Linked DNA regions of Drosophila melanogaster. The protein of the gene in region 3 interacts with the protein of the main gene of each other region in a pairwise test. Each region holds a gene or a part of one and is shown on either strand. Other genes may lie near its edges. The genes, in order: Obp56a, ple, CG14684 and CG32137.

Region 1 (6,325 bases), on a different chromosome or scaffold from region 3:
CTGATGGGCCTAGCAAGTGAGGCATGAACATGATTTGGCAATCGATTTGAGCGACAATTAAATAGCAATTTAAACCGATTTCCATAAAGACGACTCTATAAAAGGCTTTTGTTAAATCGCAACAGGCTCTATAGTTGAAAAGTTTTTATAGTAAATCGTCAAACAAATTTTAAAAATATTTCTTAGATGTATTTTCGAGCCAGTTTGATGGCATTGCTTTGCCTCACTCTTAGTGAATTCGTTTCTAAAGCATGGGTAATGTTTTTCATATTTTATATATCTTTTGTAAATTCGACTTATGTAGTACTTGGAATTATATGTTTTATATTTACAAGGTAAATATTAAAAAAGGGAAGTGAATCAAATTTTCTTACAACTAAAAAGACATATTGGAATACATAGAGACAATATATAATTTTTACAAAAATACATTTCATCCACAGACCCGATCGCTTTCCGTCTCGCTGAACATGTCGATGACACGAACCCTGGTTCCAGATCCGCCAAATGGAACAGAAAACAAACTCAGCCAGGAGATGCTGAGGGCTTGTATGCGTAGGACCGAGATCTCAATGTCGCAACTGAAACTCTTTCACATGAGCCTGATGAACAGCGACTACAATAATGACAACGATATAGCCCCTACGCCAGTTCAATCCATTGGCGATGTAAATAACCTGGGTGATCTGGACTTCAATGGCAACTCGCAGATGCCATATCTCGATCTGAAGCATAATGAGCCGCTGCAGTGCTTTGTGAGCTGTCTGTATGAGACCCTGGATTTGGATAGGTACAATGTCCTGCTGGAGGAGGCCTTTAAGAATCAGGTGCAAACGATCATACAGCATGAGAAGGCGGAGATCAAGGAGTGTAGTGATCTTCAGGGCAAAACACGATGCGAGGCAGCCTACAAGCTGCACCTGTGCTACAATCACCTGAAAACTCTGGAGGCGGAGCAGCGTATCCGTGAGATACTTGAGCGGACCGAGGCGGAGAACGAGGGATTCGGTCCGGAGGGCAGCGACTTTATCGACGGCATCCAGCATTCCGGAGAAGCAATGACCACCGCTAAGTCGGAGTAAATAGCTGTGTACTTGTAGGTCTTATTTCTTATCGGTGTTTGCTATATAGAAAATCCACTTATTATTTAAATGTATGTATGAATAAGTACTTAAATTGTAACTTATTCAGCGTTTGAGAGTTTTAAAGCTATAAAATAAAATAAAAACAAGAGTTTTGCATTTCAGCGTAATTAGTTTAAACAATTTTAAGTTGCTAGAGTTTTTTTTTTATTAATTAAAAGCTTTAATATTTTCTGATGTGTTTGAAAAGCTGAATACCATATTATAGGGCTCAATTTTGGGCTTAACTTTTTTCTAAATGTTTTTAACGGTTCCATAGCATAGTTTTGGGCAGATTGTTAAGTAAACTAATGTGTTGATTTGAATGTAAAAAGAAGAAAACGAATGTAAGCAATTTTATCATACTTAAAATAAGTAAGTAACCATTTCCCAATCATTAATACACTAATAAGAAGACCCATATTATGTTATTATATGCAGCTGTATGTCGAATAAAAATTGTTTGTAGAAACTAAGAAACACAAAAGCCATTTCACTTAAAACATAAGAATCAATCTTAAAAGAAGAAAATCTATTTCACGCACAATAAGTAAATAAATCCAAAGTCCAAACAAAGCTCACTGACCCGAATGATCATCTAGGCAGCGATGATTTAACGCCTACTGGTTAAAATGGGAAAATTGGATCTGAATTAAAAATAACCCAGTTTAAAATTGATAAATTTTATTAATTGAATTTTAATAAAATAATAACTTGATTGGCAAAATTAAGTCTGGAACTTAAGCATGTTACGCGTATTTAAGCCATATTATTGTGAACGAAATTCAGTTCGACAGTGAATGTAGCTTTGGAAAGATGAAACTTATCTACTTGTTGGTTGTATTCCTAATTTTCGCTCTAAGCGAACTAGTAGCGGTAAGTTGGATGAAACGTTGCTTTAGGGATAATTCATCATTTTATTCGCATTTTTAAAACAGGGCCAGTCAGCTGCGGAATTGGCAGCCTACAAGCAAATTCAACAGGCCTGCATCAAGGAGCTGAATATTGCTGCCAGTGATGCTAATTTGCTGACCACCGACAAGGAGGTGGCGAATCCCTCTGAGTCGGTGAAGTGCTATCACAGCTGCGTCTACAAGAAACTGGGTCTCCTGGGTGACGATGGAAAGCCCAATACTGATAAGATCGTTAAGTTGGCCCAGATCCGTTTCAGCAGTCTGCCGGTGGATAAGCTAAAGAGTTTGCTTACCAGCTGCGGAACCACAAAGTCAGCCGCCACCTGTGACTTTGTCTACAACTATGAAAAGTGTGTTGTTAAGGGTATTAGTGCCTAAAATTAAAACAATAAAGCAGTTTAAGTGTTCAATGCAGTCATACATTTAATTATGCAAATTGAAAACGCCGAATCACCTGACTTACACATGAATATGGATTATAATCAGCTTACGCGAAACAGGGCTTGAGAGCATCAATTAAGCTGTGGCAAATTTGCCACTCACCCTTCTGATTCAGAATGATGCACTTGTTCTATGATTGCATTGAATCAAAGTAAACTGGGTGATTTAATAATAACAAGGATTTAACGTATTGTTGCATTTCTATTAACCCAAACTCAAACAAACCAAGAAGACATATTAACACCTAATATGGAAAACAAAGCATAGTTTCATTGGACAAAGAATTTATTTAAATTTTGTTACATTTTTTCCCGAATCACAATTTGCCAAGCATTAAATCCCTAACTTCTTTAGGCCTTAGCCTCGGGGGCGGGCTTGAAGCTCTCGAAGCAATCGTACAACTTGGAGGCGGTATCACACTTGTTCTCGCCCTTGATGGTCCTGCACTTCTCCAGAGCCGCCTTGGTCTTCTCCTCGCCAATGAGAGCGCCGAGCTTCTCCAGCACCACTGACTCCTGCAGCTCACCGTCCTTCAGGGTTCCGACCTTCTCGAAGAAGCAGTTGGCAAAGCACTTGATGTTCTCGGTGGGGTTATTGAAGTCCTTGGCATTGACCTTGGCCTTTTCCTCCTCGGTAAGTTTCACTTCCTCGGCGCACTGCTCACGATGCTGCTTGGCCAGATCCTTCTGCTCGTCGCTCAGATTAAGGGACTAAGAAAATGATAATTTAAGGTTTTAATAACAAAAACATTTAGCCAAGTCGTTTACTTCATATATTCCAAACACACACCAAAGGCTCGAAGATTCAGACTTTATATTTACAGCCAAGTCAGGGTCTTCAGTGTAGATATATGCTTATAAATATTACATCTTATAGGGTTAGAGTCCAATAAAATATTTCAAGACTTTAAAACCCATATAATTCTATTGTTTAGTTTTCTCAAACTCACCGATCCAACAGCCAGAGTCACAAAAAGAGCACTCAAAGCGATCACGAAGTAGGAGTTCATGTTGAGAAATACTTTGACTTGTTAGAACGTTGGGGAAGTTCTGATGCCGACATGGGATGGGATCGCGGCTTTTATACCCGGCTTGGTTGCCAATAAAAGCCGGTTTCTCTTTATGGCCCCGGGCAGTGATCCAACTAAGCCCAGCTGATGGCTTTGCTTTTTGATTTTTGTTTTGGTTTTGGTTTTAGATTTCTGTTTGCTATCTTTCCCATTTCCTTTGGTCTAGCTGGGTTCTTTTTTTTTGCAATCTTGGCCAGTACTTTCGTCTATTTGTGGCCCGCGGCCAGGTAGACAATCTGAAGTTATGGTCGCTATGAAAGCATGGTTCATTAAACCGCCTTCTACCTGTCCAACCTGGGGAATCGAATCAATTATACAGATAGAACGCAGACATGGTACAGACAGGGACGGCTCAAGTGGTGTCCAGATCGTAGGTCGCTCAAGTTACTCCGTCTGGAGTTGGAGTTGAAATTGTGGCTGCTCACTCATTATCGCTACACTCTATCAAAAACTTTCCACTGCTGCCCCATACCAGGTGGCAGATCCCAAGCTAAAGGCACAATAACCAACCGACAACGCCCCAGTCGGATTCTGATTCAGATATATATCTATGTATCTGGGCGGAGAGGTGTGGCCAAGCGCGTATTGAAAGTTGAGAAGCGCAAGGAGACAGACGACGACGGCAAAGTTTTTTCATTTGAATCCTATTATTTCAGCGTAGTTGTAATCTTATTATCCACGAGATGACAGCAAAATGACATTTAGAAAATTTCACGCTGTGTGAAATGTACAAAAAGAAAATGCGGGAATGCAGGAAAGTCAGTGCGTGTGGGTGGTAATGCTGATGCTGAGACTCAGACTGAGGCTGATGGAATCGAGCCGGAGTCGGAGTCGGATCCAAAGTCGTGGCCGGGATCCGGAGTTTCTGATTGGGACTGCGTACTGTGGCCAAGACATCCCTTCTCCCTCGCAAAAACCTTCGTCTACATCTTTGAGTCGGGCGTGTTTTTCACAAGTTTTCCACTGACTTCTTCTGCTGTCGCTGCCTTCCTTTTAATTTCAATTCTGACATTTGTTTGTCTGCTGTCAAAATAAAGTAGCTTTGGCGCTAAAGAAATAAACCATAAGATTGCGATTGAAAATTTTCCAACGCACACGCAGACACCACAGCCCCCTCCACCATCCCAACATCCGCCCCCTGACCAACCAGTGGCTGAAAACTTTTCGCTCTGACGCAATAATAATAATAAACTAAAGCTTGTTTGACTTCTCCGCAAATGCTTTGAAATCCTTGTGTGGTAATCTTAATTCAATTTGCTTGTGGTGGGGACAGCCGACTTGAGTGATAAACTCTGGCGTTACACATGCAAAGATTGTTTGTTGGATGTAAGAAAAAAACCTGGCAATTTAATCTGAAAACTTTATAAAAATAATGATTTTGAAGGAGAGTAAAAGCATTTTAGGAATGTTAACAGGTGGCAATTAGTTTTTTGTTGGCTTTGTTTTGGACGTAAGCTTTGTATTAAGTCAGGAATTTTATAAAGGTTTAATTAAAAGAAATTACATTCGAACGTATTAGGTATTTGAGTTAAATACGTAAAATGCAAATAAAAGTGATGCTTTTCTACAAAAGGTTAAAGGTGCTCCCTTATGTGACCATTTAAATATCTAGACAAACAGGATTAATTTCTCAAAATTTGTACATTCTTTTTCAACTTTCGAATCATTAACAAGGCAAAAATGTAATATTTGTTCAAGCTTATTTCTAACGAACCAGAGCTGAGCTATGGATGGCTATCCCTATAGAGCACAAGGCAAAACCATGAAGAGCATAATCAGTCTACAAGCCCCCCGTCCAATGCCGCCAAATTTCAGCTAGAAATTAAGTACAATTTTCATTTTAAATTAAGCTGCCACGGCATCCCCGCAGAGCAGATCCTGCTCAGCTTTCGACGTCATTAATCACCACAGAACACAGCAGCAACAACAACATGCTGGCCAAAGAGCATTTGTCAGAGACTTTTGGGTTACTTTCTTCGGTGGGGTGAAGCATTTTCTAATCGCCCCCATGGAAAGTAAAAAAAAAAGAATGAGAGTTGGAAAAAGTTACGCCCAAGAATCAGCCCGTGTACACATGTCAGGGGGTTGGCTTAATATCCCCAACTATGAAAACTCCGGCCCGACGACGACCCACCTGTCTGAGTTCTATTTCTGTGAGAAAAATGGTCGCTAAATTTGCGTGAAAAGGCAAATAATTTGAAATTCCCAGGGGTTCTAAATAAGTAAATTTAAATTGCATTTGTATGCGTTCAAAAATTTGTGCCTTTCCCTTCTTTATTTTTGAGGGTCTGGGCGCTTGTGTGTTTTGGCCATAGCAAGTTTTTGTTTGCCACTGTTGCCGTTATAAATTTGCGTGTCAAAAGCGACGAGGTGAAGGTTTTCCGCTTAATTTTTTTTTTTTTTGATGTTTCGCATATGCGGAAGGAAGTTTTCCCCCAAAAACCCCCATGCCTGGCTTTCCGCCATGTCTATGTGTTTGGCCAAATGTTAATGTCCTTATCAGCGCTTCAGCATTTTTACATGTGTCCGCATTTGAAATATGCGGCAATGGTAAATGTTTTTCTGGCACTTTGCATGCACCCATATGAAGGAAATGCAGAACGGGGTGGGGATTTTCTTTTTGCGGCTCCTGTTGCCGCTTCCGCTGCAGCTGATGTCAAGTGTCAAGTGTCGGACAGTTGAAGTTATTTATTATAACGACAATTACACCAAACCTACCAACAGCTGGCCAACAGCTCACGTCAGAGGGTTCTGCGGGTTCTTCTATGGCCATAATTACA
Region 2 (11,110 bases), on a different chromosome or scaffold from region 3:
GCCAAAGCCAAATGCAGAATTTGGCCATGCCAGCTGTAAGTCATTGACTTTGATATTCGAAGTTGGCCAAAGCCAAATATCATAGACCAAAATCAAATACCAAAATACTGGTAATAGCAATAAGAGCCGTAGACATGTTCTAGTTAATTCCTTTGGCTACTTCTACTGTCAAAGCCAAACTCCAGCTAACCTTGGCTTTTGTATTTTTCGGGTTTTTTCGTCGTGGTTTTTATGCGGTTTTAATTAGCCAAATTCGAAATGTTGGCGGCGGCTGTAAATGAGACGTGTTTCGCTTGAAGCTCGGCCGATTGCTACTGCCAAAGCCACTGCCTTTATTCTTGTTTTGAATTTTTATTTTCTTTTTGCCCAGTTGGGGCAGTGTAAAAACAAAAACTTAAACAATTAATGAAAAGTGTTTAATTGCAAAGTGCATTGGGCTTCCGGCAATTATCTCGCCGTTGTCGGTTCAACAAACCCGTGCCAGCCTCGCGTTTCCTGCAACCCTAACCCATTTGCTCAGTGGCCTTGACAGAAGACCATAAAACGATAGCACCATAAGAACCTTATGCCACTGGGCATACATACATATACTGAACAGTCCCACCAGCTCCAACTGACCAAACGGCACGTAGTCCGCCGGACTTCGTCTTGGCAATCGAATCAAGTGCAAATGTTTGCCCACACCAAATGTATGAATGTACGCTCAGTATTTAGCCAGAGCCAGCCTTTTAAACCTGACCCAAATCAGTCGGACAATTAACCGATTGTGGCCAACTAAAGTTGATAAATGCCCCAGCCTTAGCTCCAGCTGAACTTCGCCGACAATTCATATTTTTATTATCATGTAATGCCATAATGGAGATATATCAGCAATTGTCATTAACTATTAAATACCAAGTGCTAAATGGGTATACCGAAGCAGCCGTTCTGTTGGCAATACATGTTATTTTTTTAAAGGTTCTAATCCAGTTTATTTACTTAACACAATAAACTGAAAGTTAATTGTTGAACACGCCCATCTTATGGGAATGTTAATGCATTAAATCTTAACTCAAGCTTATTTTGTGAAACAATAACCAAATTGTGTTCTTATAAGCTAACAAATTAACCTTTAATTTGAGCACCTATACTATCCTACCCAATGTCATTTAAAATATAAATTAGCCCATATGTCTTACATAAATTCGATGATATTAGCCTATGGGAATTCCCAAGACTTGCTTTATAAATTAGCTTAAGCCAAGTGTGAAATGAGAGACTAATGAAGCATAGAGATTCAAGCAATTCCCATATGTGTCCATGGTGTTCAAATAATTAATACAAACGATTCTTCTATCTCAAAATAAGAACAACTGCATTTCTTCAATCTGATAAGCTGACATTCTTTTCAGCACACCTGCGAAAGATTATAGGTACTACTACCTTAAGCAATGCAGTTATTGGAAATCCCCTGACTTTTATGCCCAGTACAACCCTTTTGATGATCGGCACACCTGCGAGGGCATTTTAGATTCGATACATCTGTCCCTTATCGTTCTGATTTGATATTAATATCATTATAATTGGACGACAACGTGGGCGTTCCCACGAGTCCACTCCATATCGCCTACATCCGATCGCTGTTGCTACTCGAGACTATTAGCACATTCAGTTTCAATTCACACAGCCAATTATTATATCACAATAAACCCGTACTCGTTCACATATTATAATTGGCATATGATAAATCCGCTCAGGTGTTTATCGGATTTTTTTTCCTTACCACAATTAATATGCTGAGGTAGGTCATGTTTCTAAAACAGCTGTCGCTTTTGATAATCGGTAAAAAAAAAATATTAAAGTACAAACTTGATAAATATAAATCAACATCTTGATCACCGAAAATTGGCAGATGAAAAATAGTTTGGGTAGGAAAGCTCCACTGCAGTAATTAATTACAGCATGTTCGCGTGCAATTAAGACTAATTAGTGGAGCCTGCTAATTAAAATAAATTGGCACAGGTTGAGAATAGAATAAAATATTTCCATCGCAGGCCCCTTTCCAATTGTTAATCATGACTTCAGGATCTCTGGCAAGTCAAGGTGTGCAAATAAAAAATAAAAAAATCATTGTAAATTGCTGGGGGCGTGCCACAGCCCCTCCCAGAATTTTAGTTCGTTTTCAAGTTTAAACGATTTCAACTTTATTCATATAATAGCGATTAAATGTACATATAGAGAAGAATGTGTATATATATATATTTATATATATATTTACGATATCTGCACGTTTTGTGCTCCATTCAAACATATAATTTTATTGAATTTTTCAGAACCAACGAAGCCTGGCTTGGGGACCAACTGCGCTTTAAGTTGATTATATATATAGATTTATGTGCGAATATAATTAGTAATTAGTTTGGCTAATTGCTTGCAGAAATGTTAACACTTGGTTGGCTTTCGATCCAATTGCAACTACAATACATCGAACAATAACAATAAAATTCCATGCTACGTTAACTATAAATATGTAATATTCTTGATCCCAATGTTTTACTTTGTTTACTTTGAAATATTTTGATTTTAATTACTTTATAATAATACATATGTATTGGTCCAAGGTTTTTCGTTATTTTATATAATTTCATCAAATTTGTGAAATATTTTCTACATAGCTCGATTTTAGTTCACATGAGATTCACTTCTTCTCACCCATAAATATATTTATCATATTCCTCGATTCTACTCATTAATTTTAAATAAATATTCCATTTTGATGTCATAAAATGTTCCCTAAACAGATTCAGACTTTAGAGTTTCGAATTGCCAAAGAAGATAATCAAATGAAAAAACCAAAGAGTAATTATTTTTCAATTGCATTTTTAATTTTATTAATACACAAAACTTAAATAAAATAATAATGTTTAAACTCTACATACCTACAATACAATACGTAATAGTCATAAGTATAATAATAGATAATAATAATAATAGTACACAATAGTAATATTGTCGTTTACAGTTATTGTACAATGTAAGAAAATTCTGTTTTGTTTTCCATTTCATTTTTTATCTTTTCCGTTTTTTTTTTTGTTTGTTTTCCATTTGTTCCTTGCTCGATTGTTGTATCTATATCATTTTTGTTTAGAAATACTCTCTCTAAATGAAGCTTCCTATACCGGGAATACTATATCGCGTGTCTATATAGTCTAGGTAAATATTGTGAGAGGCAAAATGAAGATAATAATAATACAAAAACAATTTTTGTCTGAGTATACAATCGGTTTTTGTGTGGTACTTTGCCTACTAAGTGCGGATGTATCTGAACTTTGCTTTCCCAGCTTTTCACTTCACTTAATTCGCTTTGCTTTGCTTGGCTTGGCTTGGCTTTGTTTTCACATCACTTAAACGTCTAAAGATTTTTTGGTCCAATAATAGTTGCGGTGATAAATATGCAGGTTGGGTGGTGTATCGGGTGATCAACAAATAAATATGCTTGATTTTTGTGTTTTTTACCATGTGCGCGATTCGACAATTACAACTTTTCGATGACAATTAAATAAAAATTAAACAAAAAACAATAAACAAAAAATAAAAAATAATGCGCGATGCCTTAATTTTGGTTTAAGGATTACGTGTACGAGGGATTGTGCGGTATGTCAATTTAAAATTAATTTGTATAAATGAGACCGTTGCACCTGTATGTGTATGTTTGGGTGGTGGGGGTGGCTGGTGTTTTTTTGGGCGATGTTTTTGGGTGCTTCTATATATCATACATATATCTCCCCCCCATCCACTTAGAACGGGCGTCGCAACTTGGAGATGGCGTTGGTCAGATGCAAAATCTCCGTGTTCATCTGGTGCACCAGAGTCTCCAGCTTGTCGACGGAGTCCAGCACCTCGACGCGCTCGGTGTGCGGGTTGAAACGCACCTCGAATGGACGCGACATGGTGCTCACCCAGCGACGGAACTTGTCCTTGGCATCCTCGAAGCTCTCGGCCACATAGTAGATGGGCTGGTACTCCTGATCCTGGTAGGGCTGCACGGCGGTGGATGCGGGCTCGAAGGCGCGGTGCTCGCACTTGTCGCTGATGGCATGGAGCAGCTCACCGTAGGAGCTCAGGAGTCCAGCACCGTAGGCCTTGATCTGACCATGTTCCTTGCAGAGACCGAACTCAACAGTGAACCAGTATACCTGTAGAAATGAAATGGTAAGGAACCAATGAGTAAATAGGAAGGAAAATAAAAGCAAAGGCAGATAATGCAGGAAGTTGTATGACTTATAAGATCAAGGTTTTCTGAACTTAAAAACTTATTTAAAATCACAATTAAGTGTTTTGAAATGCATTAAATTGTATCTGTAAACTATATGAATAAAAAGAAAAAAATTATTCTGGCATTGAAGTTCACTTTTCCTCTTCGACTTTGACAGTGACTAAACAATGATCTTGGTTGCGAAAAAAAACTAGCTGCGTCATAGCTGCACTTGAGTCTAAGGTCGTTACATTGCAACTCAATTAGAAAATCAACTCACCGTGGACAGCTTCTCGATTTCTTCGTCGGAGGCACCCAGCGAGGCCAGTCCAATCTCCTGCGAGAACTGGGCGAAGCTGGGATCGGCCAGCAGGGGCATGTGACCCAGCAGCTCGTGAATGGAGTCGCTGTAATGGCATAGAATAATGCTTGTTAAAAGTGTGGAAAATGTGCTGGCATAAGGCAATTAGTCTGGTTAAATGAGCTGGGCAGCCTGCCGCAGTTCCTGTAGCCAATTTGCCTGTGTTCCAGGCGACAAAAGTTGCTTGGGAAAAGCGGAAAAGGAAACCCAACCACCCACACACACACAGAGGCAGGCGGCAGGCAGGCAGGCAAATGCAATTAGGCTAGGACAAAGAGCCTTTTTCTCCCCTTTTTGAAGTGATTTTAACCCCCTAGTAAAATATGATGATAGATACTTACGGCTCGGGGGTGTGGTATGGTGAGTTAACGTGGCGCACATACTGGGTGCTCTGGAAGATGCGGAAGGCCAAGGAGGCAAGGAAGTCCCGGGCAGTCAAAAGACCGGCGGCAGGACGGAGAGAGAATCCGGTGTTCTTGCGCAGAAAGTCGGACATCTCCTGCAACTGGGGCAGACGGGTCTCCACGAAGATCTGCTCATCCTGGAGCTTCTGGAAGGCGGCCCGGTACTCGGCACAGGCGTGCTTGGGAGCCAGATCCTGAACGGTCTTGAACACCGAGCGCCAGGTCTTGACCTCCACATCGGAGTAGTCGATGAATGGGATCGGGTCTCCGTACTTGTAGGCGAATGCGATCTCGGCAATTTCCTTGCGACGCTGGCGGTATACCTTGTCGGCGAATCCGGGGTGGTTCATGTCCAAATCGGGCTCGTACTTGGTCATCAGATGGTTGCAGTTATCCAATTCGGAGGCGTGCTTGGGGAACCACGGAGCCTTGACATTCAAGTTATTGTCGGCCATCAGATTCATGCTGCTGAAGGAGCCCGACTGCCTGAGGGAGCGGATCAGCTGCAGCAGATTGCCACGGGTCATGTCCAACTTGATGAGGACATCGTGGTCCACGCCCTCCACGCGCGACTGACGGGACTCCACATGCTGGACGGTGCCGTGGAAGGTTTCGATGGCCTTGAGGATGCGACCCAAGGAGGAGATGCCCTCCTTGAGGCGGACCACCAAAGCGGCACTCTGCATGGCAGCCTCGGCATCCGAGGATTCGGAGGCGGCATTGGCCAACAAAATCTCGTCCTCGGTGAGACCGTAATCTGCAAAAGGGCCAAAAAAAAGCGGGGATAATGTGATGGTTAAGGATGCAATCTTCCAAGGCTTAGGGTCACGTAAACGATAAGCGAGCTACGTGGCAGTGGCAGTGAGACGGTTGCCAGGCAAACGCATTTCGTACTTGTATTAAGTCGAGCGTAACAAATGAAAAAGGGAAATGCGACATTTCCACAGAGAGAGAGAGAGAGAGAGAGAGAGCGAGCGAGCGCGCCCACTCACAATTGTCCGTGTGGCTGAGTGCTTTTCCTCTGCCCTGGCACTTTATCATATTAAGCACTTAAATCAATGTCGCACGCTTTTCAAAAGCCCCTCTCAGAAGTTAAGTACTACTTATGGTTGGCTGCTGGATTCTAGAACCCCCTGCTCACCGTTCTTGGTCGGCTGTTGGTTGCCTTCTGGCTCCTGCGACTGCGACTCCGACTGCTCCTGTTCAACGCTCTCAAACTCAACATCCTCCTCAACTAAAAGCGAATGAAATAAAAATAATAATAAAGCCCATGAAAATCATAATCAAAATCAAATCAAAGATAATAGGCTCAGAAAGAGGAGTAACTGGCATGGGAATTGAAATGGAAATGGATATTAACCTGGAACATATTCCTCCAAGGGCAGGTTCTCCAGATTGGCATGCTCGTCCTGGAGCTCCACATCTTGCTCGGAGGGAATGTGCTCCTGAGCCTGCACAATGCAATCTTCCAGGGAATCGTCTTTAAAATCATAAAAATAAAAACGAAGGCAAATAATAAATAAAGGGTTAAAATGAATAAGAAAAAAACGCAAATCTATGTCAAAACGAATAAAATGAAATAAAAATTGCAACTTTTTAAGTTTTTAATCAACAAGTAAAGCCCTAGCTGCAAAATTTCCCTTTTGATCCCAAATAGAAACCCTCTTTGGAGCTATTTTAGTGACCCACTTGTTGGACCCTATCCACTTACCATTTGCCTTGCTGCGGGCCTCCTCGAGGACGGTTTGTTTGGTCTGCTTGACCACCAGGGTCTCGAAACGGGCATCATCCACCAGGCTGCGACGGCGGGATGGATAGCCATTCTGGAAACGAAAGCGAAAAGATTGAAGTCCGTGTTAGTGACACTGGCAGGATGTGGAGCGGAAATTAGACGATTGCCTTGACCTTCAAGCCAGGGTGGCTTTCTTCGGCTCCACGCTTGGGTGGTGACTTTGAGCAGAGTATTGCGCAATTTTGAAAATATTATATAAAATGGTGTGTGAAAGCGCCGTCTTCAGATCTTTTTCTTTGAATAAAGCTGGCTATTCATGGAACTGTATTGATTGTGATTCAAAGCCACGAATGGTAATTTAATGCGATGTCGCCGCTTCGAAGCGGGCAGGTGCGAAGATAAATGATATGTGACTGAGAAATCGAAAATCCCCATGCGATTCTGGCGGGAAAAAAATGCAACTGGCGATCGTTAAAGGTTTTTTTTCTTTCTTTTTCTTGATGGGGGGAAAAAGGTTTCCATCACTTGCAGTTTTCACTGTCAGCTCGTTTTTTTTTTTTTTTGTTTGTTTGTTTTCTTCAGTTTTTTTTTTTGGGCCACCGCTTTGGCTGATGAAAGATGACCAACTCATTGAATCATTTATATTGATTTCATATTTTTTGTTTTGCTCGGACGCAGCATAAACATAAACAGAGACGAGTCAACAACAATGAGGCGCGACTGTTTCGGCCAGGCTAAGTGCATGGGGCCCAAAGGCAGCCACTTTCACTTATTTGTTAAATAATAACTTAACACACAACCCGTTGTGTCCGTTGGCGATTTGGGCCTTTCGATTTGGGCCGCCTGTTCTTAGAGGTGTGACTTAATGGCCAACCGAGGATTGAGTTTGGTCAAATTGAATTGGCGAAAAAGAAATGCGGGATCACAAAAATGGGCTCGACTACTGGCCGGTTAACTGGTTTTTTTTTGAAAACACAAAACCTTTAGATAGTCACGTAGACCAAATCTAGTCACTCATTTGCTTCTTTTTTTTTACAATTCGATTTGGAAATTGTATGTTTTGCTGGATTTTCGACTCACCTCAATACTGTAGGATTTCTTGATGGCGAACATCTCGCGGTTCTTTTGGGCTGCTGCAACGGCCATCATTTTTTTTTGTGTGTTTGGGTTGTTTTCGTTTGGGGTGAACAACAAAAATTTACGCAAAGTGTTGGCAAAAACACTTAGAATACTATTTGCTTATGTGCTTGGTTACGCTTTTCTTGTTTGATTTGCAATAAGCACTCGAAATGTGTTGACACTTTCACTGCTTATTGGCGATCTGGCTGGGTGGTTTTGTTTTTCAAGAAAATCGCTCCTGGTACTGAACTGTTTGCGTCTAGAATTGAGCTGGACAAGAACTCTCGACTCTCGAATTCACGGCGGGATATATAGATGGTTGATCGGTTGAACTTTAGCTGGATCCTTTCGCGAACTCGAAACTGATGTGGTGATGTGTATTATCCTTGTCAGCTAAATTGTATTACAACAAACAGAGTCAGCAAACTACTTGAGGCTGGGCACAAGTCTTTAGGGCGAATGATAGCGAATCAATGCATGCTTCATGTCGAGTTGCCGCCGCTTAAATACCCCCAGATTCCGATTCCGACGGCCAAGTTAACGAACGTTTCGGCCGATTGCCGACGATTGTTTGCTTCACCAAACGACGATGACTGGTTTTCGCATGACGCGACTGTGACGTAGTTGCCCAGCTGTAGCTGGGTTAAAGCCAAGATGCCGATGCCGTGGGGTTTCCTCTCACCAGCCAGCTAACCAGCTAGCCAGCCAGCTGAGTGGGTCGAGAATCGCGGGGCCTGACTCGACTCAACTTGGTCGACCAAGTTCAAGTGCGGCAACAGGCTAGAACGTCGCATTGGCCATGTTTTTGTTGCTCTTGTAGCTTGGCTAAAAAGCGGGGTTAACCATTAGCGCGTGCGCGTCAATCGGAATGGTGGTAGAATACCCCAAAAGTATTCAGTCAGTCGAACGGGAGTCATTTGAAAAGCCTCAACAGGTCATACAGAAAAAACCAAAACAAATCCAAACAAAGCGAAGCTAGTCCATGCCAAATGTTAAGCATACGCCGTGTGTGCACAGAGCAAAATAATGAAAATATATGACATTCTTACTCTGTAAGTTGTTTTAGGGAAATGTTTTTAACCACTAGAATTATTTTAAAGAAGTAGGTTAAAATTATTAAGAATGTTTTAGACAATAAAAGCACCTTACGTTTATGATACGTTCCATTTTTCTAGGTGTAACAACAGTCGAAGATCTCGTTCAGTTTTAGAACCCAGCAATTCGCATTAGATCCTGAATGACTCAATCGAATCGCGTCAGAACTAGAGCGGATGCTGAAGCGGATCGTATAGGGACCAAGTGAAAGTGAGCTGGAAAACAAAGTAATGGTAAACAGGAAGTACGGATCACATGGCTGCGTGCGTGCCCGAGATGTAAGTAGGTGGCACCCAGCCATATCGATTAAATTTTAAAAGCACATTTAACAACTAATTTGCATGCGTAAATGTAGCACATTAAACTAAGCCCGGGCGATAAGTACAGGCACATTACAATATCTATGGCATAATTGAAAGCCCCGTCAAAACATCTGGCGATTGGGATTTGCATATGGCAGCTGACGGATTACGAGACCGACCATATAGCAATCTATATAAATAATTATATATATATTCCTGTCCTGTAAGCTGATAACGTTGGCAAGGCTGCCGCCGCTTCTCAAATTGGACTCGGGCCGCCAATTCGAATGACATTTTCAGTGGCAGTGGCAGTGGCAGCATTATTTTCAATCGTGTTAGCTTTTAACCAAATTCAGTTAGCGGCGATGTCGAGATCGAAGCAAATTTGCCATTGATCTACATATGTGCACTTGTACTTGCCAACAATCCGGTCATCCTTGCAGCCTGCATCTAGCAACTAACTAACTAACTAATGCCGATGTTAATGCGGACCGTTCAAATTAGTAGATCGAATCGTTTGATTGAGCTAACGAGCCCGATAATGAGCTAACACATCACATATACGTCTATTTGCTTCGATCCGCATTAAGTTATTAAGGCATCTGGAGTAGCAAAAACATAATTATCGATCTGATAGATCCATTATACAAATTGGATCGATAGAGTGGGATTGGTGAGTTAATAAGTTTGTGGGAGCTAGGAAATACATTTGACAACATCGAAAAGCTTTTTACTTAGAATATCGAGGGTAATAATTAATAAATAGCACTTACTGGAAATAACTTAAATTATTTAAAAAATATAATACTATCCAACTAGCAGTAAACTGCGTACTATATTACCCATTAGTCACTGGCAAAAAAAGTTCCCACATTAGCCTTAATACCACATTCACATTCGGCTAAACATTTACTTCCGATTTTCGAGCAATATTTTAGGAAGCCAATCAAATAATAATTTCAGCTAAATGTTGTTATAGTTTAAGTGCCTACAGATTAAAGCCAGCATATATATATATATATATTTATATCTCGACCTCTCACATGTTCAAATACCTTCACGGCTGGGTCAAAACTTTTCTTCCGACTTAAGATTTCTACTATTGTTCTGTGAGCCGGGCTGCATGATTAAGGCACAGCCTCTATTTTCGCTGTTTAATTCTCTTACTTGTTGTATTAAAATATTTAAATATAATTGTGCACGCCGCATACAAGCGTATTCTAAAGGTATTAGATATGAGACGGCGAACAATATGCAAAACGAATATACATACGAGCACACGCCCAAGGTTCCAGAAGTCACAAAATTGTTTCAGATACACGGAGTCTGAGCTTCAAGTCGTGATTCATGGAGGCGGTAGCCGTTCACTGGGATTTCCTTGTCCTTGGCCGTGAACCTTTTAACGGTTGACTAGCTTCTAAGCGATCTCCCCATCTAAAACTTCCCTCCATGCCCGACCCCTTTATGGGTCAACCGGATTGTTTGTTTTATTGAAGTCTCATGATCAAGCCATAATCAGTTAAAAAACACTCTACACGGGCGTTTCTATCTCCCTGCCATTAAACAATGTTTAATTGTTTGCCACAAAACATTTTCGAAATGGCTCCTTTGAGAACTGAGTTTGGCTCGCAATTGAAGGTCGATGATTTTGGCTTTTGCAATTTTTTAGTTTTGTTACATAAGACGGATTTACTTTTTTCTTTGCGTTTGTTTTATATTTGATCTTTTTTCTTAGACCTAATGATCAATCATCAAGATAAAAGAGCGTTCAAACAAATTAGATTCTATAATTAAAAATTTCACAGGCGGCAATTGCTGGAAACGACCTTTTCGGGCTTTATTGGGTTTTTACTGTGCCACACA
Region 3 (6,380 bases):
TATTGACGGCATGGTAAAGGTGTTACGTCACTACGATTGCGTGGGCGTGGCTGCGCCCCAAGTTGGAATACCGCTGCGTATTATCGTTATGGAATTCCGAGAGGGAAAGCAAGAGCAATTCAAGCCGGAAATCTACGAGGAGCGTAAGATGTCCATACTGCCCTTGGCCGTAAGTAAAGCTTTTCTTTTCGCGTTCGAAAAATATATGTAAATCTATGCAGTTTTATAAACGTATGAATTTGAGAAACTAAATTTCTGCATACAAAAATATTGCTTATGTGCAGCAACAATCCCGTGATTTCTCATCATAAATCATTTGCTTGCAGGTCTTCATTAATCCGGAGCTGGAGATAATCAGCAGCCAAGTAAACAAGCATCCCGAAGGTTGCATGAGTGTGCGAGGCTATTCCGCTGAGGTGGAACGGTACGATAAGGTCCGGATCCGGGGGATCGGCAAGCTGGGCACTCCGTCGGAAATGGAACTGGAGGGCTGGAACGCACGGATCGCCCAGCACGAGGTGGATCACCTTAATGGAACTATCTACATGGATAGGATGGATCTCTCCACCTTCAACTGCATCCTCTGGGAGCAAATCAACGCAGCTGAAGGTCGATCCGCCATTTGGTTTCACAAGTAATAACTTGGTTGCATTTAATTCAAGGAGCTTTTCACTTTTTTATGGCGCTTTATACAACATATTTGTATATTGTTTGAAAATAAAATACACTTCTGAAATGAATGCGCTGTTTACGAAATAAACTTTGTGTGCGGGGAAAAAGTATTTTATGCACCTAGCATATATTTAAAAGCGCGCCAAATATCAAATCTATTTCCACCGATATATCGATAGGTACATACTTTCACATCCCTAGCCGGTCAGCTGGCCAGTATGACCGTGTTGTGTAACTATATTCCCTACGATTTTGATCGGAATATTAAAGGAGGCTAAACATTTCACAAAATGCACCTGAAACCACGGATAAAAGTATGCCAAGCGATTCTGGGACATTGTCGATCCTTTGGAACGAGTCCTCCCGCTAATCAGTCGTTCAGGAAGTGGTACCAGCACCTGTGGACCACGGAGCGCACAAACTTGCCGCCATACAACCATTTCACCCAGATTGGTGACCCTGTTCTTAGGCAACAAGCGGCTTTGGTGCCCAAGGAGCACATGGCTAGCCCCGAGATTAAGGCCATCGTCGAGCGGATGGTCAAGGTGCTAAGGAAGTTCGACTGCGTCGGCATTGCGGCTCCTCAGATTGGAGTATCGCTCAGGATCATAGCAATGGAGTTCAAGGGACGGATCCGAAAGGAGCTGCCCGAGGCCGTTTACCAAGCCCGACAAATGTCCGAGTTGCCACTGACTGTGAGACTGGGGTCCTAACTAGCTGTGTTCGGAAGCCCAAACCCTATAATACAATGGTTTGCTTCTTACAGATTTTCATCAATCCCGTCCTGACGGTGACCAACTACGCGAAGCTGAAGCATCCAGAAGGATGCATGAGTGTGCGAGGTTACTCTGCCGAAGTGGAGCGTTTCGAAGGTGTAAAGCTAACAGGCCTTGACCAACTAGGAAACCAAAGCGAACTGGCTCTGAGTGGTTGGAATGCCCGGATAGCGCAGCACGAAATGGATCACCTGGAGGGAAAACTATACACCGATCACATGGACCGCTCAACCTTTGCGTGCACCTGCTGGGAGGCGGTTAACACGAAATCCGGACGCGTGGAGATACCCTTCTACAAGTAGTTAAGTCGCTCGTGGATCGTTTCACTATTTATGTATGTATATATACTGATTGAATGGAATTCTATCTGGCAAATGTTCCTCTCGACTGGTTTTAGTCCATTGGTTTGGTGGGTGCACAAACCCGTAGATTGTGGATGGCCGCCCCAAGCGCAGACTTGGCCTTGAAGTACTCCTGACTGTCCCACAAATCACTCTTGTCCATCATGTAGGCAAGCAATTCTTGGTACTCCCGCATCAGCAGACGATGGGTGGCAGCCGTCTTCAACTGTTGCATCTCAAATAGCTCGGAAAGAGTCGGCAGGTCCTCAAGCTCTTGATCACTCGCAGTCTTCAGCCTAATATTTTCGTGCTGGGTTCTCAAAAGGCAATATTCATTATACTGCTCTCGCAGACTCTTGCCAAGATAATTGAGGACTGCAGTGCGCAGAATAAATTGCCGTATGACCGGATCGGCATTAGTGCGGCGGAACATGCTTAGCACAGTCCGGGAAACACCGGTCACCTAAATCAGCGTGGTACCGGAAAATACAAATTCTGAGAATACAGATTGACAGAAAAATCACGCCCTTGGAAATTATTGTATTTGGTCTTTTAAATAATCGGAGTCGCTGCAGCATCTAAATTTCAGTCTTTTTGAGGAACATAAATATTTAACTCTCAATGTAACGACACTGATTTTTCACTGCTTTTGACTAAAATACGATTTTATAAATTTATACCATTATTTACTGCCAAACGCAATGAAGCGCATTCATGTGGATAACTACGCCCCAAAGTACTATAGCGGCAAGTGGTCATGGGACTCGGAGAAAGACTGCCTCCACTTTCAGGCGCACAACGATCTGGAAAACGCAAGAGAGCGCTATATTATGACCAATGGCTACAGGTTCCTGCGCACAATAGACCAGGAGGAGGAGCTCATCTTCCGACAGGAGTATGTGCTACCGAAAAGCAACTATAGTGACGTTGTGGTGGTCGGAGATATTAGAAACTTGGTTCTCTACCTTATGCCTTCAGAATTTCTAACCTACAAGTTCGTTGAGTTCATGTACGAGCGGGATACGCACTTGTTGCTTCACTCCCTGATTATATACTTTGAGCACTATTTGCGACTGGTCGAGTTTATACTTATACGTCGGGATGAGCTTTCCGGTCCCCTGGGTCAGGTGCAGAGCGAGCAGACCAACGATATGAAACGAACCTTTTCGGTATACTTAAGCCAGTATCGTATGCTTGTTGCACGAAACTACTGCCGCATCATCGGGGGCGAGGATAATATGTCCAAGTACTACCACATGAAGCCGATTTCCAACATTTCAGCAACAATCCACGATAAGTTTTTCCATGAGCATTTTCTGGCAGTGGCCATCCAAATAGTCTGGATCTGTATGCATCGCCGGGCGTATTACGTAATCGAAATGGAGATCAATCGCCTTTTCCGCTCCGAGCACTTTGTTTCCGCCCACCCAGAATACCTCGAGTTCACGGAGGCGGAGCGCAGTCTTCTCTACGGCAGAAACAAAAAGAACTACAATTATCGAATTCAGGAATCGCCTCTAGTCCAGGAGCTAAAGCTGGTTCCTGAAGAGGATTTGCCCATTTTGTGGATAGGCGAACGCAAGTACAGAGGAAACGATATCCGCATTGCCGAGATTGAGCTGGAGTACATTGTGCCCGGTTCGCAGCTCAGCTTTATAGATGTATCGCACGGCATCATGGGCCATCCCAAGAGCCTCTACAACACGCTTCTTAGTCTCGACTGGCCGGCTGTCCGCTTCTCAAACTTCTCGGAAAAGTTCGATCCGTACCATATAATCAGGAGACCTCACCTGCAAATACCCAAGATAGGTGAGCTTCAGATGCGTACAATGAAAGAGAAATATGAACATTTCTACAAGCTCTGTAAGGTTCATGAGCGGGTCACACACCATCAGATCTGCAAGTGGGTCAAACGAGACATCAACATAGCCTTCTTTCGGTCCGGAGGTCTACTCACGAACGTAGTCTCGCGTTGTGAAAAGGAGTTGGCAAGCACATCTTCAGGACAAAGGGTCGATCAGATCATCTCCAACTATTTTAAGATCATGTCCAAAATACGCAAGGAGGATAGAGATCCGGAGCATGCATCATCTACGCGTAGTAGTATTGCATCGCGATTTAGTGTAGGCAAGGCAAAGCGGTAAAAAAAACTACCTAATTTTATACGTTAATTGCAATTTTTGCATATTATTATATATACAGAAAATCGGAGCTTTAAAGCACTGACACTTATGGATTGCTATTTTATAATAAATGCACGAAGACGAAAGACATTGGCATCCGATCAAGGGTATGGGTTTCGTAGGTGGGAGCTTGGGAATAAAACTTCACTTTAGGCCTTTAAACATGAGCATAATTCCACTAAACTTCGTCACGTACACATCAATTTAAATACACTTTAAAAACACTAAACACAACCCGATCTTGGTTTATCTGCGCGACTACGATGAAAAGAGTCCATGTCGATAACTACGCTCCAAAGTACTACAGCGGCAAGTGGTCATGGGACTCGGAGAAGGACTGCCTCAACTTTCAGGCGCACAACGATCTGGAAAACGCAAGAGAGCGCTATATAATCACCAATGGGTACAAGTTCCTGCGTACCATCGACCAAGAGGAGGAGCTTATCTTCCGGCAGGAGTATGTACGCGCCAAGTCCAACACCAGTGACACAGTGGTGCTAAGAGATATTCGAGATCTGGTGCTCTACTTGATGCCTAAAGACTTTCTAACCTACAAGTTCATTGAATTCATGCATGAGCCACAGGTGCAGTCCGTGCTCCACGCCTTAACATTGTACTTTGAGTACTACCTACGCCTGGTGGAGTTCGTCCTGATTCGCAGAGATGAACTCTCTGGCCAGATGGCCCAAATTCAGAGCGAGCAGACCACTGAGATGAAGAAAACCTATTCCGTTTACCTGAGCCACTTCCGCATGCTATTAGCCCGAAACTACTGTGAGATTATCAAGGGCGAGGGATCTATGGCCAAGTACTACCACATGAAGCCGATTTCCAACATTTCAGCAACTATCCACGATAAGTACTTCCATGAGCATTTTCTGGCAGTATCCATCCAAATAGTCTGGATATGCATGCATCGCCGAGCGTATTTCGTCATCGAAATGGAGATGAATCGGCTTTTCCGGTCGGAGCACTTTGTTTCCGTCCGCCCTGAGTACCTTGAGTTCACGGAGGCGGAGCGAAGTCTTCTTTACGGCCGAAACAACAAGAACCTCAATTATCGCGTCCAGATCTCTCCGCTGGTCCAAGAGTTGGAGCATGTTGTGACGGAGGATTTGCCCATTCTGTGGATAGGAAAGCGTAAGTATAGGGGCACTGATCCTCACATCGCTCAGATCGAGTTGGAGTACGTTGTGCCCGGATCGCAGCTCCGCTTGATTGATCTGTCCCATGGAATCCTTGGCCACCCGAAGAATCTCTACAACACCCTTCTGAACCTCGACTGGCCAGCAGTTCGGTTCTCAAACTTTTCGGAGCAATACGACCCATATCATATCATCAGACGAAACCACCTGGACATTCCCAAGTTGGGTGAACTTGAAATGCGAAAATTTGGCGAGAGTTACGAGCACTTTTACGAGATCTTTCACTTTTTCGAGCCAGTCACCCATTCACATATCTGCAAGTGGGTCAAACGGGAGATCAACATAGCGTTCTTTCGGTCCGGAGGTCTGCTCACGAACGTAGTCTCACGATGTGAAAAGGAATTGGCCACCGCATATGAGGGACAAGAAGTGGACAAGATCATTGCCAATTACTTCAAGATAGTGTCTAACATACGAAAGGTGGACTACTTTGAGTCGCCTCGTGTGAGTGACGTTAGCACAGTGAAGAAGGGGAACTTTGGAAAAAGACAAAGTACCTAAAAAGTCGGCTTGAAAGTAGTCAGCAAAAATCATGCATTGTTGGTTGCGATTTTGTGCAAGAATACTACCTTACTTTTGAGGGCCAAAAATAGGTATTCGTGTAATTTATATATTTCCAACCTGTCTACATATAAAAAAAAATTCATTTATAATATCATGAAAATATATAAAAACTAAAAATATTTCGTTTCCATTCTTTAGCTTCTGAAAAGTAAAAACTCGATAGTTTTAAAGAAAACTCAAATCGTCAGAAATGTATATTAGTTTACCGACTTTTAAATCTTATCTCTATATCATTTATATACAAGTTAAAACGATAAATTTGTTACTACTCTGGAATTAGATGTGAAAAGGCGTTGAAAGTTATTAGGAATCTTCTCCCTTGTCCAGGTTGCCGTCTAAAATAGGCCCTCAATTTCTCCGGTTTCCGTATTCAGATCGATATCGTAGATCGCCGGGCGGGTGGGAAGACCCGGCATTTTGGTGACCTCACCGCACATGGCGACCACAAAGCCGGCTCCGGCTGAAACATATACGTCCTCAACGTCCAGGGTGAAGCCCTTGGGGGCGCCTTTGATTTTGGCATCGCCGGTGAAGGAGCCGGAGACTTTGGACATGCAGATAGGTAGATTGCCAAAACCCTGCGAATTGAACAATGCATTTCTATAAATACTTTCAGTTTCTCGAAGAAAATGTTCTCGA
Region 4 (7,916 bases), on a different chromosome or scaffold from region 3:
AGCGGTCTAATTACGTCAGTCAATCGCAGACCGACCACATATAGTATACAATACTATATAGTATACGAATGGGATGGGCCTGGTTTAGCTGACCACTGGTTCATCCATCCAAGCAGCGAAGTGACATTGTGCGCTCCATAACTTTTTGAAGAAATTAATTAGATACGCGACCAGCCATTTTGCATATTGCCAAAAACACGCAAATAAAAGTGAATCCAGCGAAAATGTGGCTCACGTCACTTTGCTAAACAAAGACTAAAAGGTAAAGTCAAGGTGACTAAAATTCAAGAGATTTATGCGGCAGCTCCACGCCAGAATTCCCTAAGCAATAATTGTTATTAAAAAAAGAAACAAGCAAATAATTAAAGCGACAATTGGCGTTGTTCAACTGTCAGGTGTTAACCTTTTTTTTTTGGACTGGCCCAATTTCATTAGTCTAAAGCGATTTCCATTTAATGGCCAATGGAAAATGGAACATGGGAATTTCTCACTTTTCGGCTTTAAATTGGAGCGCTCTATAATAAACTTAATGGTTTTTTCGGGTGCCAAGCGATTTTCATTTAAATTGTTAATGGTTATGGAATGCATGAGGTGAGCAAGCAAACTATTATTTTAATGGGAATTTTACGGGATTAAAACACAGACTTTGAAGACACGTAAAAACTAAACTCGAACAGAGAGAGCATTTTATTATTATTGAACTTAGTTTGATATTTACAATGTATAATGTATACATATATATTGTATAATTTTGGTTTTAAACTCAATGAGGGCATATAAATTTAATAAGCAATGGAGTTGTTCTCGATTTTCAATAAAAAATTCATTGCACAAAAGTTTTTGCATATCAAAAATGACTCAAAAAGACTCGAACATATGTACAAAATTTTCACGATGACATCATCTGACTAAATATCCAGGATATTACGCGACTAGCCCCCCCGCAATTGGCCTTCGCACTTTCATTTCTCAATGAAGATGAAGTCACTCAACGTGCTTAACTACAAAAGCAAAAAAAAAAAAAGGAGAATACAAAACCCAGTTAAAGTGACTAAGCCAACTACGTAAATATGGCCCAAACCCACGGAAAATATGTACCAACGAAATTATTCAAGTTCAACGCATTGCTGTGTCCTCTGTTTGGGTTACTCACACCATCAGGTGGTCCCCAAACCATCCTCACATTTCCTGTTCTCTTTTCGTGCATTGAATTGCCATTAATCGGCGTTGAAGCCTAATTGATAAGAATACATTGTTGTTTACCGGTCGGTCAACAAAAGTACATTAGCCTAACTATCGGTTCAGGATGGAAAAGCGAGGTAACTAAGTTTGAGGCAACCAATATGCTAATGTGAACGGCCACGAACTTGAGCCGCGGCTTGAACTTCACTTGGAGCGATTGCTGGAACGGGTGTTTTATGTTTACCTATCTTCTTCTATTTCTTCTATTGTCAGTTACCTGGAAGTATCTGTAGTGTGTGTGTGTGTGCGTGTGTGTGAACAGGTGACAGGCGAACGAACCGCACCCACCCACACAGAAACCACCCATTCGAGCGGTTCAAGGTCGGGCGGCAGACATAGACTTTGGAAACATTTGGAGGTGTTGTGAACAGACTTTGCTTTTCCTGCCATGTTATCAGGAAAGTGCTCGATAAAGCCAATTTTTAGAGAGACTTCAGAAGAGCTCTTCAGCTATTTCATACAAAATGTGTAGGGTAGAACTTGTGATGGAACAAAAATCGATACCCTTACGTGATACACTATATAGTTCAGTAGTTTACTGCGCACACACACACACACAGTATGTCATCGTCCATAAAGTGACATGACTGTAACCATTTTTGTTTGTCTAAATAGTTAAAGAACCCACCCCACAATATAAATTGCAGTTGACAGTTTGGGGAGTTTGTGTGTTCAGTTTACAGAGCTGCATTGGACAGGTGCTGTGTTTCAGCTCTCGAAAAAAATCCATATTGTATATGTATTATTTAATTCTCCCGACCTGGGAATGCCAGCAATGCGTCAATAGAGGGGGTCATTTACGAACACATGTCCGCCAATAATCAATGCAAATCATCAGGTGAGTCAATCAAAATTCTGGTACTCAGGTATAACTGCCGTTGCCGATTTGATAAATGCGCCGGCATTTAGAGATAACTATTAGATTGTTCAAGAAATCATTAGAGGAAAAGGTAGGGAGCTTAAAAAGGGAAAATAATAAATGGGTCTGAATTTACAAATGTTGGTTTCACACAATTGGTAGCTAATATAGAGATAGAAGCAAAGTGATTATTTTGTTTATTGCTCACACTTTAGTAAATCAGATAGAGAATAGAGATAAAAGAACATGAAAGCATTCCCTCAATAAGCAAGATATCATTAAACTAATAATAAAGAGTGCTTAGATCTCTTCCATTCATTTAGAAAACATAACAAAAATTAATTTTTTCATTTCCCAATTCTTTAAATTGCTGCTTAACCATATTCAAGAGATACATAACTATCATCTCTATGATCTTTTAAATTGTAAGTGTATTAAAGTATAATATGCATTGCCTATCTTTTAAGTCACTAAAGTACCTTCCAAGCTATATGTCCTCTTCCTAAATTTCTTTTAATTCTAACCAATTTTCCTTTCCCCCAAATAACTGACTTCCATTTCAATTGTTTGCCATTTATAATGGCAATTCCACCTGTTAACTTTATATGTGTTTCATGACTCACCTCAATTTTGCTCGAATAGTCCTCGATGAGCTTTTCCTGCTGTTTGACCAGCTCCTCGTTCTTCTCGAGCAGTGCCTTGCCCAGTTCGGCGGCCAATAGGATGTCCGACTCCTTCTGCTGCAGCTGGGCCCAAACATCCGGCTCCTGGTCGTGTCGACGTGCCTCCATGGCGCTGATGTAGTGCTCTAAATCAATCGAATCCCCAATTAGTGACGAATAGTCGAGGTGGTCGAAGCCGGAGTCGTCCGACCGGAGTAGCCCCCCAGCTCCAGCTCCAGTTCCAACTCCGATCGAGTATTGGCCAAACTGACGTGGTCGCTTCGATTTGTTGCCACCGGAGCTGCTGCTGCTGCTGCCGCCGACGATGCTGTTGTTGTTGTTGTTTTTGGTGGATATGGATGAGGCAATGGCGGCAGCGGTTATAGCATTCGCTAGCTTTGGTTTATGCATGATCGTTAGCGGGCAGGCTTGGACTTATTTCAGGCGGGTAGGTGTGGTATGGTGTGTACGTGATATTACGGGTACGGATAATAGCAACGAACCAAATTTACAGACATAACACACACACACACACGCACAGTAAGTTGGATGCAATTAATATCAGTTTAGGTTTTAGTGCGATGCAGAGATCACAATTTTGGTAGTTGGGTTTATCGTTGGTTAGGTGTTCAGATGGCTCTGATCTGGTCGTAGGATTAGCATTAGCTGGCGCGGCGATACGATGATATATCCGAGCATAGTTCCATGGACACCAGCTGCTCCCAAAAGAGAGCAGACCCGTGGTTAAAGCGACTGATGTGTTTGAGCTGCAGTTGATTTCGGTTAGATATATAAGTATAAGTACACAGCCGTAATGAGAATTAGCATTAAATGTGGTATATATATATATGTATGCCCGCCAAGACGGGTCTAATCGTTGGCCAAAAGGAGCGACGGTCACGTTGAGCGTTTGCCAGCACGTTTTTAGTTACTTGTTATTGGGGCTTTTTTTCGGTTTTTGGTTTTGCTAGGGTCAGGGGTGTTTTGGGCAGGGGGGGGGGGATAACATATAACTACAGTGTTAAGCAAGAGGGTTAAGTTAGTCTTTAGTTAAGCTTCATGCGGCTTGGATATCAAATAGGGTTTAAGTTTCTTGCGGATTGGGGGGCGTATTGACATGCGTGGATTTATACAGGTGGGTGGATATTTATAAGGCTGTTAAGGCAGATTATCCAAAAAGAACTTCAGTAGTAGTTCCATTAAATTTAAGGGTATTAAAAGTTTATTTACAGAGGTTGCTTTAGTTAGCGAGGATGTACCAATGAGTTTAGTATGAGTCTCCGCTCTAGGTTTAAATTTCGAAATACCCAAATATATATACAATTAATGTTAAATGATTTTTAAAACATTATCGGCCAACTAAACACAACAATAGAGCCAAACGAAGGTGGCTAGAATCTCTCAAAGTCCACAGATCTCGTTTAAAATTTGGTCCGGTTTTTTTAAACTTATATATATTTTTTAGCCGTTTTCATTTGTTATATAGAAAATTCATTTGGCAAGCACTTCACGCTTAGCTGCTTTTGGTAGCAACAGCAACTGTTGTTAAAATGTATAATACGCTTCAGGCTAAGCTTTTAGCCAACACTTATTTTGTTATTTATGTGCGCTTTGTGTTTATTTTATTTTATTCGTTTTATTTTGATTTTTTTTTTGGAAGCAGCACAGACAGCACAGTTCACAAATACACAACCGATTTGGCTCAAATTGTTGGTATTATTGTTTTGCATTTCCGCTTATATATGCCGTTTTTGGCCAGAGTTTGGCATTATTATTGACAAAACAACAAAAATAACGCGCGGATTGCATGGGATATATTGGTCTAATTAATTCCCCCAAAACGGAAAGTATCCAAAGTATCCAGCAGATACTTTCCACTTTCGCAAGCGCGCTACAGTCTGGCCCTATATATCTTTTAAACTATTTGTATATATATATATATAGCTAACTATATCCGTATATGTATGAGGGCAGAAACCTCGGTCACGACGACGCTGCTCCACTCCAAAGCAGAACTTCCGATGTCCGATGTCCGATTCTCCGATTTTCGGATTCTCCGATGCCGTACAACGCGCGCTCGCTTCGCTTCGGTTACGATTTTCTGGCTTTCCCCAGCTTTTCAGAGGGCGGCTTCGCGGGGGCGTGGCGGATACGTGTGTCTGGCGCGAACGTTCGTTACTAACTGAATGGCGCTGAGGCCGCCGTGCTACGAAAATTGGCAAAACAAATGAGTAACCAAGCGACGACGACGACGAACGACTGGCTAAGCCTCGTATCTTGGCAACAACAACCAACAACATCGGTTGGCTCTCTTAGGTGGCGGTTAACAAAGAGAGTTACCAGTGTTCCACCAGGGTTGTCGAATAATAGCAACGAAGCAGGGGCGATAATCGCAGTCGAGTAATATTATTGGTTACAAAGCAACTAAGATAGCAAATTGCAATTTAGGACGCAGATAACTGATAATAGACTATTTATGGCCTAAGATATCTTCTTTAAGTCAATAAACATTTGGAAAACTGGTTTTCTGTTCAGCTACTGATAGGCATATCGTATTAGGCAAATCTCGATAGCCAAACCTAAAAATAAAATGTCATGATTACTTGGATTATTTTGGACAGAGATTTTGCAGTAATCTTACTTTAAAAATGTAGATCTAAAATCTACAAGGAAATAATTTAAGCCTTAGCATTGTGGATGAATTTTTCATGAAATCGCTTCTTACCTGGCAACCCTGGTAAAACCAAAACACAGCTCCAAAGGTAAGCTTCACTTGGCGCTCTTTTGCTCCGACTTCCTTCCCTTTTAACTGACATATGGTTGATTCGGCTCTACTCTCTTGACTGCTCTTCGCCGTTTGTTTTGCATTGGGCCCGACTTACGAAAGCGGCCAAGTGAACAATAATGAAACGGAGTGACGTTTCGAATGGGGCAGGGGGGCACTGGGGAGCGTGGCCAAAAGGGAGGAGGGCCAGAGACCTGGACCTCCAAAAACCACGACGTGCATACACACATGTACCCAAGCGTACACATTTCAATGCAAAATTTACATACGACAAGAACACAAACAATGGGCACCCAAGAATGGCAATAACAATGGGTATACACTAAGCAATTAATGGGTATATGTTTGCAGGAACTTTATTTCTTCAAATTTTTAGATTCGCGGTCATTTTGCTCTAGGCATCGAAATTATGTTAAAAAGCTAAAGTGCTCCGGAAGGAAGTAATTACAAGCTGTAAAAAATATTCAAATTGTTTCATTAACATCTGAATTTAATCTATATATTATACAGCTCAAAGTAAATGTATCTTTAAAATTTATTTAGAGATCAGTACTAATTACTGAAAATCAGTTATGAAAATGAAATATTCTATCACATACCCTATAATCATACTTCTAGCACATTCTGCTTTTGAAAATGAAAATAGGTACAAGTATGTGACCCCAATGTTTCCAGTGCATCCAAGTGAGGAAGATTTCTAAAGAGGGGGCCGTAGACATGGTCTATGTTAAAAAGCTAAAGTGCTCCGGAAGGAAGTAATTACAAGCTGTAAAAAATATTCAAATTGTTTCATTAACATCTGAATTTAATCTATATATTATACAGCTCAAAGTAAATGTATCTTTAAAATTTATTTAGAGATCAGTACTAATTACTGAAAATCAGTTATGAAAATGAAATATTCTATCACATACCCTATAATCATACTTCTAGCACATTCTGCTTTTGAAAATGAAAATAGGTACAAGTATGTGACCCCAATGTTTCCAGTGCATCCAAGTGAGGAAGATTTCTAAAGAGGGGGCCGTAGACATGGTCAGACCGTCTAGTGCGTGGTACTAAACCAGAGTCATGCCGGCTCCTCACCGCCCAGCGCCAAACTTCTCAAACAACATGCACAATAAGACACTCAAGTGGCCGGGCCAAGTGAAGATGAAGATGAGCTTCAGACCGACACCAGACCATTGTTCTTGGTGGCCAACGCCATCACCATCACCGTCTCCGCCTTCAGATCCATCCATAATGTTGATGTTGCGTGGCCGCTTGTTTATGTTGGGCTACTGTATGGGCTACTGTTTGGCCATTTACCAAATTGAGCTTTCGGATGATGGCCTAACCAGGCGTAACTAACTTTTTTGTGTTTTACTTGATTTTCGCTGGCCAGTGAGTGAAACTTCCGTGCTTCCGGCGCAGATCGATCTATAACTATAACTTTGCCGCACTGCCTAATGAGGAAGGGTTAGTGGCGTGTCTTCCTTTGAACATTTGTGGGGCATCTGGTTGGAATTCTTCGTGGCTCTGTTCATCTCCGGTTTCCATGCTGCAGTTCACCTGCAATCAAGTGTTCTTGAGCTGCCTTATTGTCTTACACTCTCGCTCTTGTTGAGCTCGGCACTCCAGCCATCCATTCATCCATCTTGGGGCACGGCTACCATACCGATCCGTACCATAGCATAGCCACCTAGCCCACCTAAACTGGTTTCGGTCTTGCTCTTGCTCTGCATTGTATCGCAGTTTTTTTTTTTTTGTTTAATTACTTCTGCTTCTTTTTATTTTGCGTTGTTCTTATGGGAGGTTGATTAACTTTTCTGGCATGTTGGTGTCACTTTTTTTTCCAAGCAAATCAGAAATAACATAGAAATTCCACTTGGCCATGGAGTTTGTTACACTTGAAGGATTACAGCGAATGAAAAACAAACCTCGAGAACTGTATTCGAATTTAATCAATTTATAATTTCATTTAATTATTAGTGATTTTGGTCAAGCCATCGTAGTTAGGCTAATATAAACAATTCAATCGATTTATGCACCTTGAAATATTTATCAGTTTTAATATACTTATCAGTTTGATAGCTTTAACATATCTGTTCGATAAGGGAGTAAACATATATCATATACCATATATATACCATCATATATCATACCATTAGAGGAATCTCTGGTTTATACAACATGCATACGTTCTACGTTTCATACGTTATATGAATAATGATTACGAGTAAATTCCTAATGAATTAATCTGTTTTTTTTTTAGGGTATACCACATGTCGTTTAGTCCACAATTTGGTGCGCACATACATCAAGTCTTTAATATGTACAATAATTATGTTGTTTTTAGCGCTCGGCATGAGTCAACGGCAACAAGTTG

The links.
Region 1: the proteins of CG14684 (region 3) and Obp56a interact in a two-hybrid assay, tested with the Drosophila melanogaster proteins (one large-scale study listed by BioGRID).
Region 2: the proteins of CG14684 (region 3) and ple interact in a two-hybrid assay, tested with the Drosophila melanogaster proteins (one large-scale study listed by BioGRID).
Region 4: the proteins of CG14684 (region 3) and CG32137 interact in a two-hybrid assay, tested with the Drosophila melanogaster proteins (one large-scale study listed by BioGRID).

Annotation. Positions count from the first base shown.
Region 1 is NT_033778.4:19,694,930-19,701,254, reverse strand, and holds Obp56a (Odorant-binding protein 56a), read right to left. Parts: upstream 3,533-6,325; 5' UTR 3,486-3,532; coding exon 3,426-3,485; intron 3,187-3,425; coding exon 2,827-3,186; 3' UTR 2,747-2,826; downstream 1-2,746. Other genes in the region: Obp56c (Odorant-binding protein 56c), read left to right, coding at 187-285, 444-1,082; Obp56b (Odorant-binding protein 56b), read left to right, coding at 1,938-1,997, 2,060-2,413. UniProt on the Drosophila melanogaster protein: Present in the aqueous fluid surrounding olfactory sensory dendrites and are thought to aid in the capture and transport of hydrophobic odorants into and through this fluid.
Region 2 is NT_037436.4:6,711,194-6,722,303, forward strand, and holds ple (pale), read right to left. Parts: upstream 8,333-11,110; 5' UTR 7,881-8,332; coding exon 7,812-7,880; intron 6,823-7,811; coding exon 6,711-6,822; intron 6,480-6,710; coding exon 6,360-6,479; intron 6,234-6,359; coding exon 6,141-6,233; intron 5,757-6,140; coding exon 4,937-5,756; intron 4,642-4,936; coding exon 4,515-4,641; intron 4,176-4,514; coding exon 3,777-4,175; 3' UTR 2,163-3,776; downstream 1-2,162. UniProt on the Drosophila melanogaster protein: Plays an important role in the physiology of adrenergic neurons.
Region 3 is NT_033777.3:10,702,845-10,709,224, reverse strand, and holds CG14684 (uncharacterized protein), read right to left. Parts: upstream 2,252-6,380; 5' UTR 2,223-2,251; coding exon 1,842-2,222; 3' UTR 1,765-1,841; downstream 1-1,764. Other genes in the region: CG31373 (uncharacterized protein), read left to right, coding at 1-169, 327-638; CG31278 (uncharacterized protein), read left to right, coding at 963-1,367, 1,439-1,750; CG31467 (uncharacterized protein), read left to right, coding at 2,491-3,933; CG31391 (uncharacterized protein), read left to right, coding at 4,236-5,678; pug (pugilist), read right to left, coding at 6,077-6,319.
Region 4 is NT_037436.4:13,936,284-13,944,199, reverse strand, and holds the start of CG32137 (uncharacterized protein), read right to left. Parts: upstream 4,951-7,916; 5' UTR 4,742-4,950; intron 3,531-4,741; 5' UTR 3,175-3,530; coding exon 2,725-3,174; intron 1-2,724. UniProt on the Drosophila melanogaster protein: Functions redundantly with BicD. Involved in formation and/or development of mechanosensory organs during metamorphosis.